2 linked regions of the Arabidopsis thaliana genome follow. The protein of the gene in region 2 interacts with the protein of the main gene of each other region in a pairwise test. Each region holds a gene or a part of one and is shown on either strand. Other genes may lie near its edges.

Evidence for each region.
Region 1: the proteins of COL3 (region 2) and RAP2.7 interact in a two-hybrid assay, tested with the Arabidopsis thaliana proteins (one study listed by BioGRID).

The regions. Positions count from the first base shown.
Region 1 is NC_003071.7:12,223,476-12,232,150, forward strand, and holds RAP2.7 (uncharacterized protein), read right to left. Parts: upstream 5,150-8,675; 5' UTR 4,777-5,149; coding exon 4,265-4,776; intron 4,170-4,264; coding exon 4,144-4,169; exon of another isoform or gene 4,116-4,143; coding exon of another isoform or gene 4,076-4,115; coding exon 4,045-4,075; intron 3,961-4,044; coding exon 3,873-3,960; intron 3,791-3,872; coding exon 3,645-3,790; coding exon of another isoform or gene 3,641-3,644; exon of another isoform or gene 3,539-3,640; coding exon 3,494-3,538; coding exon of another isoform or gene 3,387-3,493; coding exon 3,167-3,386; intron 3,092-3,166; coding exon 2,981-3,091; exon of another isoform or gene 2,909-2,980; coding exon 2,693-2,908; 3' UTR 2,181-2,692; downstream 1-2,180. Other genes in the region: AT2G28540 (RNA binding (RRM/RBD/RNP motifs) family protein), read left to right, coding at 1-119.
Region 2 is NC_003071.7:10,563,886-10,570,705, reverse strand, and holds COL3 (CONSTANS-like 3), read right to left. Parts: upstream 3,871-6,820; 5' UTR 3,748-3,870; coding exon 3,169-3,747; coding exon of another isoform or gene 3,085-3,168; exon of another isoform or gene 3,083-3,084; intron 3,066-3,082; coding exon 2,760-3,065; 3' UTR 2,561-2,759; downstream 1-2,560. Other genes in the region: AT2G24780 (uncharacterized protein), read left to right, coding at 4,867-5,025; ARF3 (ADP-ribosylation factor 3), read right to left, coding at 5,745-5,778, 5,894-6,024, 6,201-6,248, 6,624-6,735.

The sequences.
Region 1 (8,675 bases), 1.7 Mb from region 2:
ATGGTCACTGGAATGGGTTGATGAGTAACGAGATCCAAACTCGAAACAGACTTCAAAATGAGAGACTTGTTGGTTCGACTAATTGGATCCCTGGTTACAATGGGACGTTCAGGATGTAAACACCGTCTGCGGAATCTGTGAGCTTGGTTTGCCTTTGGACTGACTGATAGGAACCATCATCGGTTTGGTCTAGGAGCCGTGCTTAAATCACCTCGGCCTTAAATCTTTTCTTCTGGTTACTTAGTAGTAAAGTTGGTGTAAAAAAAGCTTTAGGAAGGTTTTTTATTCGTTTATGCAATTCTATAACATTTACTCTTGGTTTTGAAGTATGTCAAATATGGATTTTCGAGGTTAACATAAGATCTATCTTCTTTTAGCTTCCATATCAAAATCACAACACCAAAAGTATACAACTTGTATTTAAAAAATCATTAGTTGACTAATTAACATGGTTTCTACCAATAAAGAAAAGATAATCACTATTTTAATAACTCTAAATGTGCTTTTGTGTTCTGACAAAAAGATATGAATAGTAAACAAAGTAAGATGGGTTACTTAGTACTATTCTATTACACCAAACAAAATCGTATATAGTTTAATGCAGATATTTATGAATTTGCAGAGAGACACCTCTTTTGATTCTGTTACATACTAATAATAAATTACATAATGTTTTTAAGGATTGGACCCAATATGTTTTAACAATCGTCTCACGTTGTCTCATTTTGTGCCACTAAAAAAATACAATTGTTTATATTAAGGATTCTCTCCGACAATGTAGGTCATCATTCGTATTTATTTTGCTTTTATGCATTTGTTGCCTTGTTCCTGTTTGACTATCATATACCCTACGCAATTTTATAAGTTTTTTCTATCAATGTATTAAGTATTTGGTGTGGTCAGAAAATATTCATTACTCATCGTATTTAATTTGATAGGAACTATACCATATCTTTTTAGTTGGCCCCAATTTGCTTGAGCGTAGATAACGTTAAATACAATCTGGGTCAGATTCTGTCATGTCCACAATTCACGTCTATAGGAAAAATAAAAATATAGATCTATAATTTTGTTTTAATCCCTTAGAAATTTGTTTCTTTGAGGTAAAATTACACTCAAGCTTAAACAATTACTTGTTTTTTTTTTTTTTTTTATCTTTTTGAGCTGTTTGACTAAGCCTTACATATTTTTGTAAGATTTGGATCAAACACTTCTAAATCTAATCCGAACCCATAATAATTGAAAGTAGTATATTGGGTAATATATATAATTTGTCTACACTAAATTACACATATTGATATCGCCAAATAATTTGGTTGATCCGCTTGTTGTGGATGGTATACGTTTCCTTCGGGTATTTTTGCCATTAAGATGATTTTTTATACTAACATTAAACATAGCCATTTTAGCCAAAACATAGCCGAACCCACGTGAATTACTAATGATCTTGCATGCCTTTAAAAAATCTACAATACTTTTAATGATATTGTAAATCAGATGATTACATTTCATCATAAAAGTATTTTTGTGTTCAGAAAATTGTCGATTGAAGATAATGGTATTCTTAATATATTCTTAAAAAGAAGGATAATGATATGTTTAAAGAAGGAAACATGTGAGCTTTTAGATTACTGGTAAAGGCATAGGATACGAGTCATAGGAAAGGGCCATTTTTGGAATATTATGAATAATAAATTTAGTTTCTTTAAGACATGACATCTTTACTGAATATTATTACATTACCCGGAACGGTAGATAGACTTAGAGATTTGATTTGACAGAACAGAAGATCGGGAATCTCTTATTTTTCTTTTAGCTTGACAATTGGCATAACAACTACACCATTTTCTTTAAGTTTTTTGTTGACTATATAACAAAAAACCAACGTAGCCCAAAAAAAAGTAGTTCGAATGTTTCGTCCTTGTTTTTAAAAAGTACTAAATTTTTACAAATATCCTAGGATCTTCGTCATTTGTGGACGTTTCGGTTTAATGACTTACCGTTAACCATTTGACTAAAAATATTTCCTAATTATTTGTTTAGTTGATATAGTTTAGAAAATACAGAGCATCTAATCTATTCCAAAAGTTTAAACCATATTATGCATGACTCACTGAATAGTTAAGTACAATACATTTCACACGTGACTATAGAATAAGCATTTAGATTTGGCACTATATCCGAATATGTATACAAATAAGAATGTAATGTTTTTGCCAAATCGTTTCGGGGTTCCGAAGAGGCAGCCAAAACCTATCACTATCTCTCTTTACTGTTCTTTTCAACAGTGTTATTTTAATCAAAATATCTTATACTATCAAACCTTCACATAAAACGACAAAACTTCATCCTCATATTTTATTTTTTGTTACAAATTGTACCTTCCAAATTTCAAGAGTCCTCTTACCAAAAAAACATATTTTCACATAAACAAACCTTATTAGGTAAAGACATTTTGAGAAGATTTAAAATTTACCACAAACATACACATTTTTTTTACCATTTAGTTGATAAAGTTTTTTCTCAACAAACCAAATTTTGATGTAAAAAAAAACACATTTTCTCATCTGAATTTGGAAAAATTGATCATTGTATGTGAAAAATCTAAAACCCAAATGACATTTTTGAAAGGGGACTAGAGTGTTGAGAGAGAGAGAGATGGTAAAAAAACTCTCATATGTCCCCTTACAAGTTAAGGGTGTGGATAAAAGTAACCACGTGTTGCATTGTCATTGGGAGGTTGTGGCCGGAAATGTGAGAATCCTGATGATGCTGCTGCAACTGAGAACAATGGTGGTGGTTGTGGTCCCGGTGGCTGCGGTCTCACGGCGCTTGTTTGCCCCGGTCTCTGCCATCCCCAGTTACTCATCATCCCTTCAGCTTCACTTCTCTTTTCTGTTGCTCTTCCCTGAAAAAACAAACATTGTTTCATTGTCTTGCGACTACATTGTGTTGTTTCACTTTGATTCTATGTTTTTACCTCGGCGGGATTATTATAACTCGGGCATGCTCCGTTCCAGTAAAGGCGATGATCCGAGGATCCATAAGGAAGAGGTGTATTCACCGGCTTTCCCATGTATTCGTTATCTATCTGCAGTTTGTTTAAAAGACGATAAGAAACGTACGTTTTGAATTCATGAGAGATTGGTATTTGAAAGTTAGTTACCCTCAAGCTAACTCCACGCTGAGTTTCATAAGTATTAGAAGGGAAGTGAAAGAGCCTCCCATTTTGCTTTGGCGCATTACCGGTCGATAAAGAGATTCCCAAGTTGAGGTCAATCTCAGAGTTATTGCTCTCAGAGTTAATCTCATTTTGGTATGAACTCATCTCGAAGTTCGTGACTGCTTCTCTACCATTAGTGTTGATTGCAGCCTTGTCATAAGCCCTGTTGTCAAGAAAATGTTTAGAAAGAAAGAAACTTCATGTTGGCTTTGATAAAAACAAAGTGAAGTTCTACTAAAGGTTTCTATCAAACAATGATCATTAAGGAACCTTGCAGCTTCTACTTCGCTGTCGAACAGCCCAAGATAAATATACCTGCAATTCAAGCATCTTAATCACCTAACCACTACTTAGACACCATTCCTAGTTTCATACCCTTTCTAAAATCAAAAAGTTCATATTAAAGAACAAAATTGCTCACTTTTTACCAAGAAACTGCCCCATCCTAGCTTCCCATCTACCACATTTGTGTAACGTAACCCCTCGATACTTCGAACTCCCCCGCGAAAACCCCGTGCTCTGTCTACGCAGTATATGCACAAACTCTTCCTTACTCAAGTTTTGTACCTAAACAAGAAGATAACACAGTTAAAAAAAAAACTACTCAAAACAATCATATAACCAAAACAAAAGACTTATATCCAAAAACCTGTTTCATATCTTCCTCATAATCACCAAGAGTAAAGTTGATATCAGCATCAACACCTCTAAATTTAATAGCAGCTCGATCATAAGCTCTACAAAAACACAAACACTAATCAAAATCCAAACCTTAACAATTCCGAAAACAAAACTTTTATCTATAATAATCCAAAAATTACCTAGCTGCAGCATGAGCAGTGTCGAAACCACCTATATAAATCAACAACCATGAATCAATAATCTTAATCATCAAAATTTTAACAAAAATTGTAATTTACCTAAATAAACTTGTTTCCCACAATCCCTACAAAACAAAAAAAAATTGAATCAATCTCACTGATAAAAATTACTAAATCGAGAAACTTGTATTATCATCAACAACAAAAAAAAAAAACTTACCAAATATGTGACTCCCATCGACCAGTTCTTCTATAAAAAGTAACTCCTCTATACTGTGAACTTCTAGACCTTGGTCCTCTCCGACTCTTTTTAACCTGAGCCGGAACCGGAGCCGGAGTCGGAACCGGAGTTACCAATTTCGTTTCTCCGTCACCAATACGGTCAAAAGAAAGATCTATCCAGTTTCTAGAGCTTGATGATCCTTCAACATCTCGTAGATGTCCACAGTCTCCACTCACCGGAAAAAACTCTTTAGTAACGGAAGCTGAAGCGGCGGGGCTTTCGTCTCCGCCGCTACTACTTCCGACTTTTAAAATATCGAAACTGAGAGTGAAAGCTCGAGTAGAGCAAGAGTCTTCGTCTCCATCGGCATTGATAACTGACGACGTCGATGTACCGGACTCTTCCACTCGATTCCCGGCGGAGTTGTCTGATGTCTGCCGATCTAAGTATGAGTCACCACCGTACTGAGTCGACTCGGGAGAATCAGCGTTGAGGTTAAGATCCAACATCTCAAGCTCTGAAAATTACAAATCTAGCGAAGGTGATGATGAAGGAATCAGTTGTTAGAGATCGTCTTCTACAGCAACAACGATTACATAATCACATAATCTCTCACGAAGAGCTCGAGATGATCGGGAGGAAGAAGAGAATGGAGAAGAATTTAGAGATTACGATGGAGGAATGGTGAGAGTAGAGAAGTTTTGTCGCCGGGAAATGTTACCGGCGGCGAGAGAGTGAGACGGATATTTTTTTTTTTTAAAGTGGAGAAGAAGATAGAAGGAGACGTGTGAGGGAACATTTCAGACCCAATTTTAGAGGATGATCATTATTTATAATAAAGTTGTTTTTCTCTCTCTGTAACTATAAATGTGTATAATAACTTTATAATAAAATTTTAACATATTGTTGTTGGTCCTTTTTTGGCAGTGGTATACCGGCTAAGTAAGTTTCCGGTTTTTTTTTTTTTTTTTTTTGCCGGTACGTACTGCTTTTGGTCAATGCTTTGGTTTTCAAAGGAGACAATACAATACATGAAATGAAACATCAACTTTTAGTTCCGACCAAAACAAGAGTAATGATCGCTGCAGTATTGTTTTTTTTAACCCATGCTTGTTACATTAGATTTTTGTAGGTGTAGTTGATTCGTTAATGTTAACAAGAGTAAAATGTGATTTGGTTCGTGTGTTACATGTTTTTTCACGTCGTTTGGTTTGGGTTTTGGGGTGACATAGTGTTGATTGCATGAGTTAATTAGGAATGTACGTTGGTGTGTTTTGAGATTGAGTGTGTGCACCAATTTGGCTTGATGGATATTGGTCCAAGTATGCCATTAGAGGATGGGATGTTGGACTTGGACATGGGCAGATGGTATTTGAGTCATAGGTCTAGGATTAGTGGATTGGTATTTTTGATTAGTGTATATGACCGAGGTGTTATTATAGTGCTAATCGTATGAGTGAACGGTTGTTGTATTAACCACTACTTATATGGTTTTGTCCGCGATGTCTTTAGCTCTTGTAGTTTCCTCGTCCTTGATTTTAATGTCCTATGATAAGCATATTGTTGTAGAATTGTGGGTGATGAGTATGACTTATGTTTGACTTTGTATGCTACCATGAGAGCATTGATCATGCCTCAGTGAAGCGGGGGATGGTGATTGATGACATAGATGATGTTGTCAAACTTTCCCGAAAATTCGCTCAGAAGATTCATCGCCAACACGTAGTCAACTACGGTAGAATCGACATTTACTAGAAAATCACATAATATAAATTTTTTTCTTGTAATTTTGCATTTAGTAATCTGCCGTTATTAATATCTTCGAAAATCAAATCTCAAAAGGTTATTATCTAGAACTTTTTTAATAAGAAAATTAAAAGTATTGTTCTTTTTAGTTATTAGTTGAATATTTGCCATTTTTGATATAGCATTTGGTATTCAGGTTATGTCGAATCATTTGACTAGTACTAGTTTTGGAAGTGAACATGTCTCTTCGTAAGAAGTAGCCCACATGCAATGTTTTCATTCATACGGTATAATTGAATCTACCATTGTAGCGTGTTGCATTTTTGTCCCGAGTATTGATACAACTATATTATCACAGCCCATATTATTATTTGATTGATGTATCCACTTTTAATAGATCTAATTATGGTTAATCGTTTCTTTTAGTTTGAGAATAGCATGAAATTTTTCCGGTCTTAAATGGTTCGGATTCAAGTTTAAACTCTGTCCATAATACATACTTACATAGACTAAAATCCAGTAAAAAAATCACACTTTTTCAGAGCATCAGATTTGATACCTTCTTTAACAAAACCACAAATATATAAAAGAATAATATATCAATTACCATTGATGTATCACCCACCACATAGCAAGATTGAGATCGAGAAATTGAGGATTTAGGGTTAATAGCATACATCTAAAACATGCGATTGCAAGCTCTCTTTCTTGGACGGCATTGTACTAACGATTGGGATTGGTCAATAAGGTATAGGTCAGTGATCCAACGGCTGGGATTTACTCAAATATAGAGAATATCTGTCTTAACGCTAATCTTAAAAAAAAGATTAGGCTTCATTTGATCAATAAGATATTATCTACGGTGTTATCCTTATTTCATAGTCTCTTACATGTGCATGAAGAACACGTGATTCTCTCATTATTTAACAACTTGTGTATTGTATATAGTTTTGTTTTCTTCTGTTTTCTCTTTCTCGTATGTATGGATTTTTATTTTATGTGGACAACGTTACTTTACATTATGTAGAGTAAAAATTACATGTACACTTTAAACTCCAAGTTTTTTATTCTTGAAAATAATATATGGATCTCAAACTTGAACAACAATGTACAAAGATGCATAAAAAATATATTATTTCATTTGGATGATTTTCTAGCTCTAGAACCTAGGATAAATTGAATACTAAAAATGCTACAACGAGAAACACTTTAACCCGAGCTTAATCAATAGTTGATGTCATATAGTTGTTTGCCTATTGCTTATTTGTTTTTCTTGCATGGTCGTTTGTTCACTTAGTTTTCTTTATATTGATTAATGATTGAGAAACCATAATCGACTATTTTGATAGTTTTGCTTAATTCATCTATGAAATATGATGTGCAATCAATTGATCTTTAGTGGCTCGATACTTATTATAGTACCACGACATAGCCAACCGTATGAGGATCATCAATGCATAGAAGTTTAATGTGGGAGACTTGTGTCTCTATTCGTTCATATGTCACATTTTTATTTATGTGTTGATAAAAGAGAGAAAAATCACTAAATAGAGATAGTATAAAAGGATTAATCAAATAGTAACAGACTAGCTTAATCATTTATCAAAACATATAATTTATAAATTATGATAATTGTATCGTTAGTGATTTGATTCCTAGCTAAAATTACCAATCATGCAAGGAATAGTTATAAACAAAGCTACTTGTTTGTATCATTAAAATATCTGGAGATCTTAAAAGAAAGCAATGTAGACACCTTGCCGACAGGGAAATATACAAGTGGAAAATTAAATGTTCATTGTTTAACATAAATAGTTCGAAGATGAATATGGTTAATTTATTTCAATTGGATGCGGTTGTTGAAATAATATTTTCTAGGATGCAGTTGCTGAAAAAATTTATGTTTAGGGGTTGTGACTTGTGATTCGATGACTATACATTTGAGGAAACAAATGAATAATCTTTACCAAAATTCTTACAATATGTCAACAAGTCAATCAATTTTTAATTAAGAATTTTTTTTTACAATATGTTAAAATGTTTTTATAAGGTGCTATTGAGAAATTTTAAAACTTTACCGAATGTTTTGGAATGAGTCTTAAAAACACATCTTCGTTAATTTTAGCAAAAACTTAAACATTAGAAGGGAAAATATTGCAAATTCTTACTACTATATATTTGCCAAAACAAAATGATGTTATAATTCAAAAAATGAGGCAAGTGGTTGAAATATTTGACAAGAAACTAATAAATACATGTTTTACCAATAAAATCTATGGTGTAGATTTGTTTCGTTACATGGGAAAAGCCACAATGTAGACACGCACTTCTTCCACACATTTTCCCTAAAGATCCTCCCACATTAGTTGGCTCCCATGATTTTGACATTTCCTATCATTATGTATCCCATTCACTCCACAACATTGTTTGTTTCTTCAATATACAGTACTCCTATATTTACAAATTCTTTTTAAAAAACCATTGTTATGTATTACTCCACTATTTAGGTACCCATATTTTAGGACGGCAGTATTCTCAAAAAAACGGTACGACCAAATACTTATCTTTAGTTTTCATGCGTTTCATGAGTACTACATCGTACTTTCCGTTTTAAAAGTAATATCACAGTACCAATTGTTTTCTTCAAATATATATAATTGAC
Region 2 (6,820 bases):
AGATCATATGACACGTTTGTTTATTTGTTCATCTAACCATAATATAAGTTCACTTTAATTTTTAAATAGAAATATGTTAAGGAAAATATGCACAAAATAAAATAAATGAATATAAAACGATCCGACCAACAAAATAAATTAAAACTTTGTCATCCGTGCAAAATAATCTGAAAATTTTTGAATTCAAAATGTAAGGAAGACAACTCCAGTCTTGGTCCAATAGACAACCAAAACAATTGTAATAGACCTAACTATGCAAACAAAGCCCAAGACGAGTGTAAAAGCTTCTTCAGACTTTAACGGTAACAGAGCATCGTCGTCATGTACTCAGCTTCGTACTGTCAAAATGTCGACTCCAGCTCACGCTACACTCCAATTGAAGAATAGCTTCACAGTCCTTGAATCTCCAGCCATGTGCAGATGAAGACACTTGTCATTCATCAAAACATTTACTAAAACTCTAGTTCAACCATTGTATCCCTTAGCTTTTCATATAAATAGATAAAGCTATGTAATGAGAAGGTTAAGAATGAGAATATAACTTTGAGTATTTCTTCTCTGTTTACAAGAGTAGTACTTGTCATCTCTTGAAAACCCCTTCTCAATTCAGTTAATTAGAAGAAAAAAAAAATTCAATTTATAAAATGTAGGAAATTATTTTCATATATTTTGGTTTAGTTTCACCTAATGTCACAAAAAAAAAAAAAAAAAATTCCATATGGTTGAGAATTTTGAAGCCATTTATCTCGGAAGTTCAGATTTTATGTAGAAATTGCTACCAAATAAAATGATAAATTTATACTGAATTTTATTAGTAATAGCATATTTTGTACAATATGTTTTGAATGTCAAAATCGGTTGGTTGACATCCGAAAATGGTGATATATTTTTCTCCTCCTATTGACACAAAGAATAATATTATCTCAATAATATTTCAATGAATTGTAGAATTTCAATGTCATTGATCCCGACAGTTCACAATTCATTTGGACATTGCTACCATTACTTAAACTGTTAATTACAATATATCATGATAAATTTAAATTTTAAAATAATGGCATACTTAGTTTTATCTCTTATGTATATACTTATTTTAAAAATATTAAGTTGATCCCCGCATATATTTTTAGATCTTGTCGTCACAATATTACATAAAGTTTTTAACCTCTCAAAGGCTCTAGCTTTCAGCTCTTTGTCATTGACACCAACTCACGAAAAACATATCACGCAAAGTATGGAGAAGAATAAGAGGAAATAACAGAGTAGAAGAAAGGGAGAAGAAGAGAGAAGCACACAAATATTTGTTCACCTGGTTCACGGTATTAACGAACCGCTACGTCCGGTTATGATCTTTCTTTCGATCCACATCTTTCCACTATGAAGAAGAAGGTGACTACAAGAGTTATAAGTCAAAGCTTAAGTGGAACAGAGACTTAACTGCTGGGCCACAATAACATTGTTGTGAATTGATAGTGATAATAAAACTAGAGCTTCTTGTGCTAAAGTAAACCTTAAAGGTTGCATCTTGAAACGCCAAACGTGGCTGCTTGAAACACAAGATGAGAAGACTGTCCTAACTTGTGCCAGCCCTTGCAACATCGTGGACACCCTCCTTTATGATCCAAAAGCATTTAACTCAACCCAAGTTCAACTTATATTAACTTGAGTTAGCTTTAAACTTGCTTATCAAGTTCATATCTTCACAGTTTTGATTTGCGGTTTCTGACTTCATTCAAAATTTTATTATGATGATGTTATGTTCCTTTGTTTGCTAAGAGTCTGAGAATCGATTCATTATGAAAACTAGAGTATGCATATGCCAACACTTTTCGAATCATTTGATATGACAATCATTGAAGACGTATGGTCAGTTTTACGCAAACCAATTGATATGAAGTGATATTTCGACACTTTATGAGTAATGACGACGAAAAATGATTAGATTATCTAATACTTGAAAGGGTTCTCCTTCAAGGTTATACCATTTACTAAAAGAGAATTAGTGGTTTGTTATTTTAGAATATGTAGATTTCTTCTTCTTTTGTGTTGCTTTCGTTTGATTAAGTTTTTTCTCATGTTTGAATTTTCATTAATAACTAAATATCTTAATGTTTGGTTTCTTTGCACAATTTTTCTCTTCTAAGGAAACTTGAGAGCAATTACGAGCACATTCTACTTTGATTCCTTGGAATAAGGTTGTTTGGTTCAAGAATGCAGTGCCAAGGTATTCTTTCATCACTTAGCTTGCATTGAAAGGTAGATTGCTTAAGAAAGACAGGCTCATAAGTTGGGGACTGAATATCTCTGCAGCTTGTGTGCTTTGCTCTAACGGTATCGAAACCCACAACCACCTCTTCTTTAAATGCTCTTTCTCTTCAACCGCGTGACAAGTTTTTGCTTCTCGAATCTGGCCTCGTTCACCATCAACGTTGGCCTCCATCGCCTCTTGAATTTTGCAGTCTCGGACACCACCACAGCTGATTGTATGAGTTTGTGTTCTATATGAATGTTAATCTTAATAGCTCAACTCATTTATTTTTGCATATCGATTTCTTACAGAGATTGTAAATCAAAATTTATTAGTTCAACATTAAGTAAACTATATAATTTAGGATACAATTGTGAGAATTAATTCAAAAAACAACAATCTTCTAACAATAACTTAGCCCCTGATTAAATCAGGAAACATTTTAGTTTTAATTATCCTTAATCTGCTATTAACCGATATACTACTACCATGTTTCTTTCACCGGAAAATATCAGAAACTCGGAACAACACCGAATCCGCCATAAACTCCGACGTCTCCACCATCATTCTCTCTCGAATCTGTTCTCTTAGCAAAACGTCCTTTGATTCTCGGCCTCATCTCAGCGTAAGCTTTACGCGACGCATACCTAATCGTCTTCTCAAATTTCCGATTCTTCCTCTTCTCTCTATACCTCAAAACCCTTGCTTCCCTCTCCGCCGGTGATAACTGCACAGCTGGCGTCTCCGTGTTCGTCATCTCCGCCGTCACTCCTCCACTTTCAGGCACCAACGGTACATCTATCGTTCTCGTCGAAACCTAACAACATTTCACAAACTCAAATCAGATCCAAACTTTCAGATCTAGATCTGAAAATTTTCCAGATCCATGGAAGCTTAAGAAGATAGAGAGAGATTCGTACAGTTTGGTTGATGAAATTGAATCCTTGTTGAGAAATTTTGGAAGCAGAGAGATCGAAATTGAAGTAATCTTCGTTAAGAAACAACTTATTCTGCACAGGAACAACTCCGTCGTTACCGGAGCTATTCTCCTCCGACGTTACCTCAATCTTCGGATAATCAAGATCGGAGAACAAATTAGTGATTTCGATTCCTTCTTTAGCTAAAAGCCACGAAGCAGTGACGTCACCGCCATCTTCATCTACGAAATTGACGGAGGAGGAAGCGGATTTTGCTGGACCTACAGCGTCGTAGAAAGGAGTGATTGGTACGCGCTCGTGGCGGCGAGAGAGTGGATTAGCTGAGTGGATATCACGGTCGCACGTGACGCATAACGCAGCGGCGTCAGCTTTGCACGTGACGTGTGCTGGTGCTTGTTCGCATACTTCACATAGCCAAACTCGTTCGTGACGTGATGCGAGTTTGTTAGCTGTGTGGATCTTACCGTCGCAGTCGCCGCAGAGAAACGCGGCGTCTGCGCGGCAGAATAGAGTTGCTGCCGTCGATTTGCACGAATCGCAAAGTCTTGACGACGACGCCATTGATGCTCTCTATATCTCTCTCTACTGTTTTTTTTGTAGAGAGAGGGATAATAATGGAGTCGGCTTTTTTTTTGTATTGACTCTTGGTGTTATGGAAGTGGCGATTGTACCGGACGCGCAGGGAGTGAAGTGGGTCATGGAGATCTGGGAATAGCGAATAGAGAGATGACACGTTAGTGAATCTTAGCCGAATAGTTGGAGTTTACGAGACATTTAGGAGAAGTGGGGCTAATCATGTGAAGGTGTATTAACTTGGGTTCATGTTCTCACGGACTTTCACAAAAGGAATGGAAAGTTCCTTCTTTTTGTCGGCAAGGAAATTCGAATTTACCCATGGTTACTTAATAGTTAATAATTACCGTAGATGCTATGTAGGCCTGGGACTAAAATCCGTTATCCGCGGGTATTCGAATCCGGATCCGTGATCCGATCCGGAAAACCGAATAATTAGGTGCGACGGATCCGGATACGAGTCCGGCGGATCTGGATACGAGTCCGGCGGATCTGGATACGAGTCCGGCGGATCCGGATACGGATCCAGATTATGAAAAAAATCAGAGCCGAATATCCGCATCCGTTCAATATGTCTACATATTTGTATTATGGGCTTAAGTTATATTTGTATCCTGGGCTTAATCAAATACACATTATCAATGTTAAGCCCAATAGTCCAATATTAGCCCACTACGACAAAATGATGGAATTTGAGTTTGTTTGGGACTTAACTATTAGGGTTTCATAACATATTTTTTCTGCCGCCGTGAATGTTTCCTTCATCACCATTTCCTTCACTATCTCCATCTCATCTCCATGTAATCTTCATCACCGTCTCCCCACCATATTCATCTCGGTTCCACCGTCGTAAATTTATGGACGGAAGTTTACTTACGGGAATGATGATACATGGGATTCAAAGTGTCGATGGCGGAGATGAATGAGGAGGAGCAGATTGGACACCGTTAAAGACGAGATCTTGGTGGTATGTGCCTTGCAAAGTCTGATGTCGGGCACACGTCGATCTCTTTTGGTGGTGAATTCAATCTGGTTGGTGAAATAGGAAATTGAATTTGTTCCCAAAAATAAACGGATCTCGAATATCCGCGGATATCCGGTTTTTTCATGGATATTCGAAATCCGGATATCCGAGGTTTACGGATCCGGATGCGGATCCTAAAACTACATATCCGCCGGATACGGATACGGATCCAGATACTCCAAAAAACCCGGATATCCGGATCCGTAGCAGGCCTAATGCTATGTACAGCCTTTTGTTTATGACTAGAAATCGTAATTTTTATTGAGTTACGATAATAAAACAAATTTGTTTAAGTTAATTTGCTCAACACCCGCCATATAAAAGATTCTATGGTAAGATCAAGAAAGAGAGCCACCGTCAAGTTACATTCTCTAAACGCCGAGCCGGACTCTTTAAGAAAGAGCTTCACAAATCGCTTGTGTTTTGTTTTGGTAGCATACTAGCATTATTAGCAGGAAAGTTAATCAAATAGCTTAGGCTAGTATCTTGCTAGTTCTATATATTCCTTGCAAATTATTTTTGCCTCTTTGAAAACATTAAAAAAAAATCTTACTATCTACTAAATGGCATAATAGTGTCAACAATTTTATCATTAATTAAGGAGCAGACAAATTACATAAATTAGGACTTCTAAAACCCCAAACGTTTGAGCTTCTGAATCCAAGTCGGCAAAAACACCACTTGGAACCAATTCAGTGTTTCGTCTGGAATCAGTTCAATATTTCATGTTAAAAAGTGATGATATTACCCCTTATGGGTCTCAATCAAAAATCTGTGTTGGGTTTTTTCTTTCAGAATGAAACAAAACAACAAAAAGAGAATATTAAGTGAACATGTCATTGATATTAACTCTTTAAGATGAAGAACTAAGATAAAAAAAAGATACTAAACAAACCAATAAGTAAAAATGATCAAAGTTACACTCTTGAGAAATGTGACAGATTGGTGTATGACGATGATTTTAGCCACTTCCCGACTTCAATGTATTACTCAACCTGAAGATCAAGATGGAAATGAGAGAAGAATATTTGAGAAGAAATGCATAAAGAAATGGGTTCAGTGTTTCAATAATGGGACCAAGAAAATGGTTCGGTTTCAGAATGTGCTTACCAGTCCAATCCCTCGAAAAGTCCCTCGCCTTTCACAGCACAAGTTTTGAAGATTGCCCATTGACGACTCTTTATCTTATGCAACTCCAAGGCTTCTGTAACAGCCGCATCATCGAGTGCACCGGGAAGATCCTAAATTAAGTCGATTTAATGAAACTCAGACCAAATAGTTATAGATTTTTCATCAGCAAAAAAGTGTCTTGTGCATGCAAAACAAACTAAAGCTTTTTAGCAACAGAAACCAATACAGATTTCCAGATGAATCAGCCCAAACTAATCGGAAGAGCAAACATTTAGAGACTACTAACCTGCTTGTTTGCAAATATCAGAACCACCGCACCTTTCAATTCATCTTCCTATAAAACATAGTTGAAAAGATAGTGCGAGTTAAATGCTGACAGTGGCAGAGGTAAACTCAAGTAAGCATTGTTGCTGAGAGTTTAAGATTAGCTAGCAAGATCTACAGAGAGAAATGATCACTTGTTCTTTCCGTCCAGTACTAACCGAGATACTTCAATTTCAGTATCACCTATTAGAAGGCTAACAATACTTGATATACAACTTACAAGCATCTATAACAAGTCCTAAACAAGAAACTGAACCAATATTGTATTTCCATTCAACTACCGATATACATCATCATCGTTTTACCTCAATTACTTTTGGATGCAAGAAGTCCATCACAAAATAATACAACAGTATAAGAAGAGGAAGCCTCAGCAGTACTTTACCTCTAAAATTGCATGAAACTCCTCTTTCGCCACCCCGATTCTATCTGTATCACTCGAGTCAACAACATAGATCACTGCTTGTGTATTCGGGAAATAGCATCGCCAGTATGGCCTGTCAAAAATACCATTAGAAAATTGGGCAAAACAAAAACAGTATAATCTTGATGGAGCATTTCTGTTCTTCATTCCTTCACAGT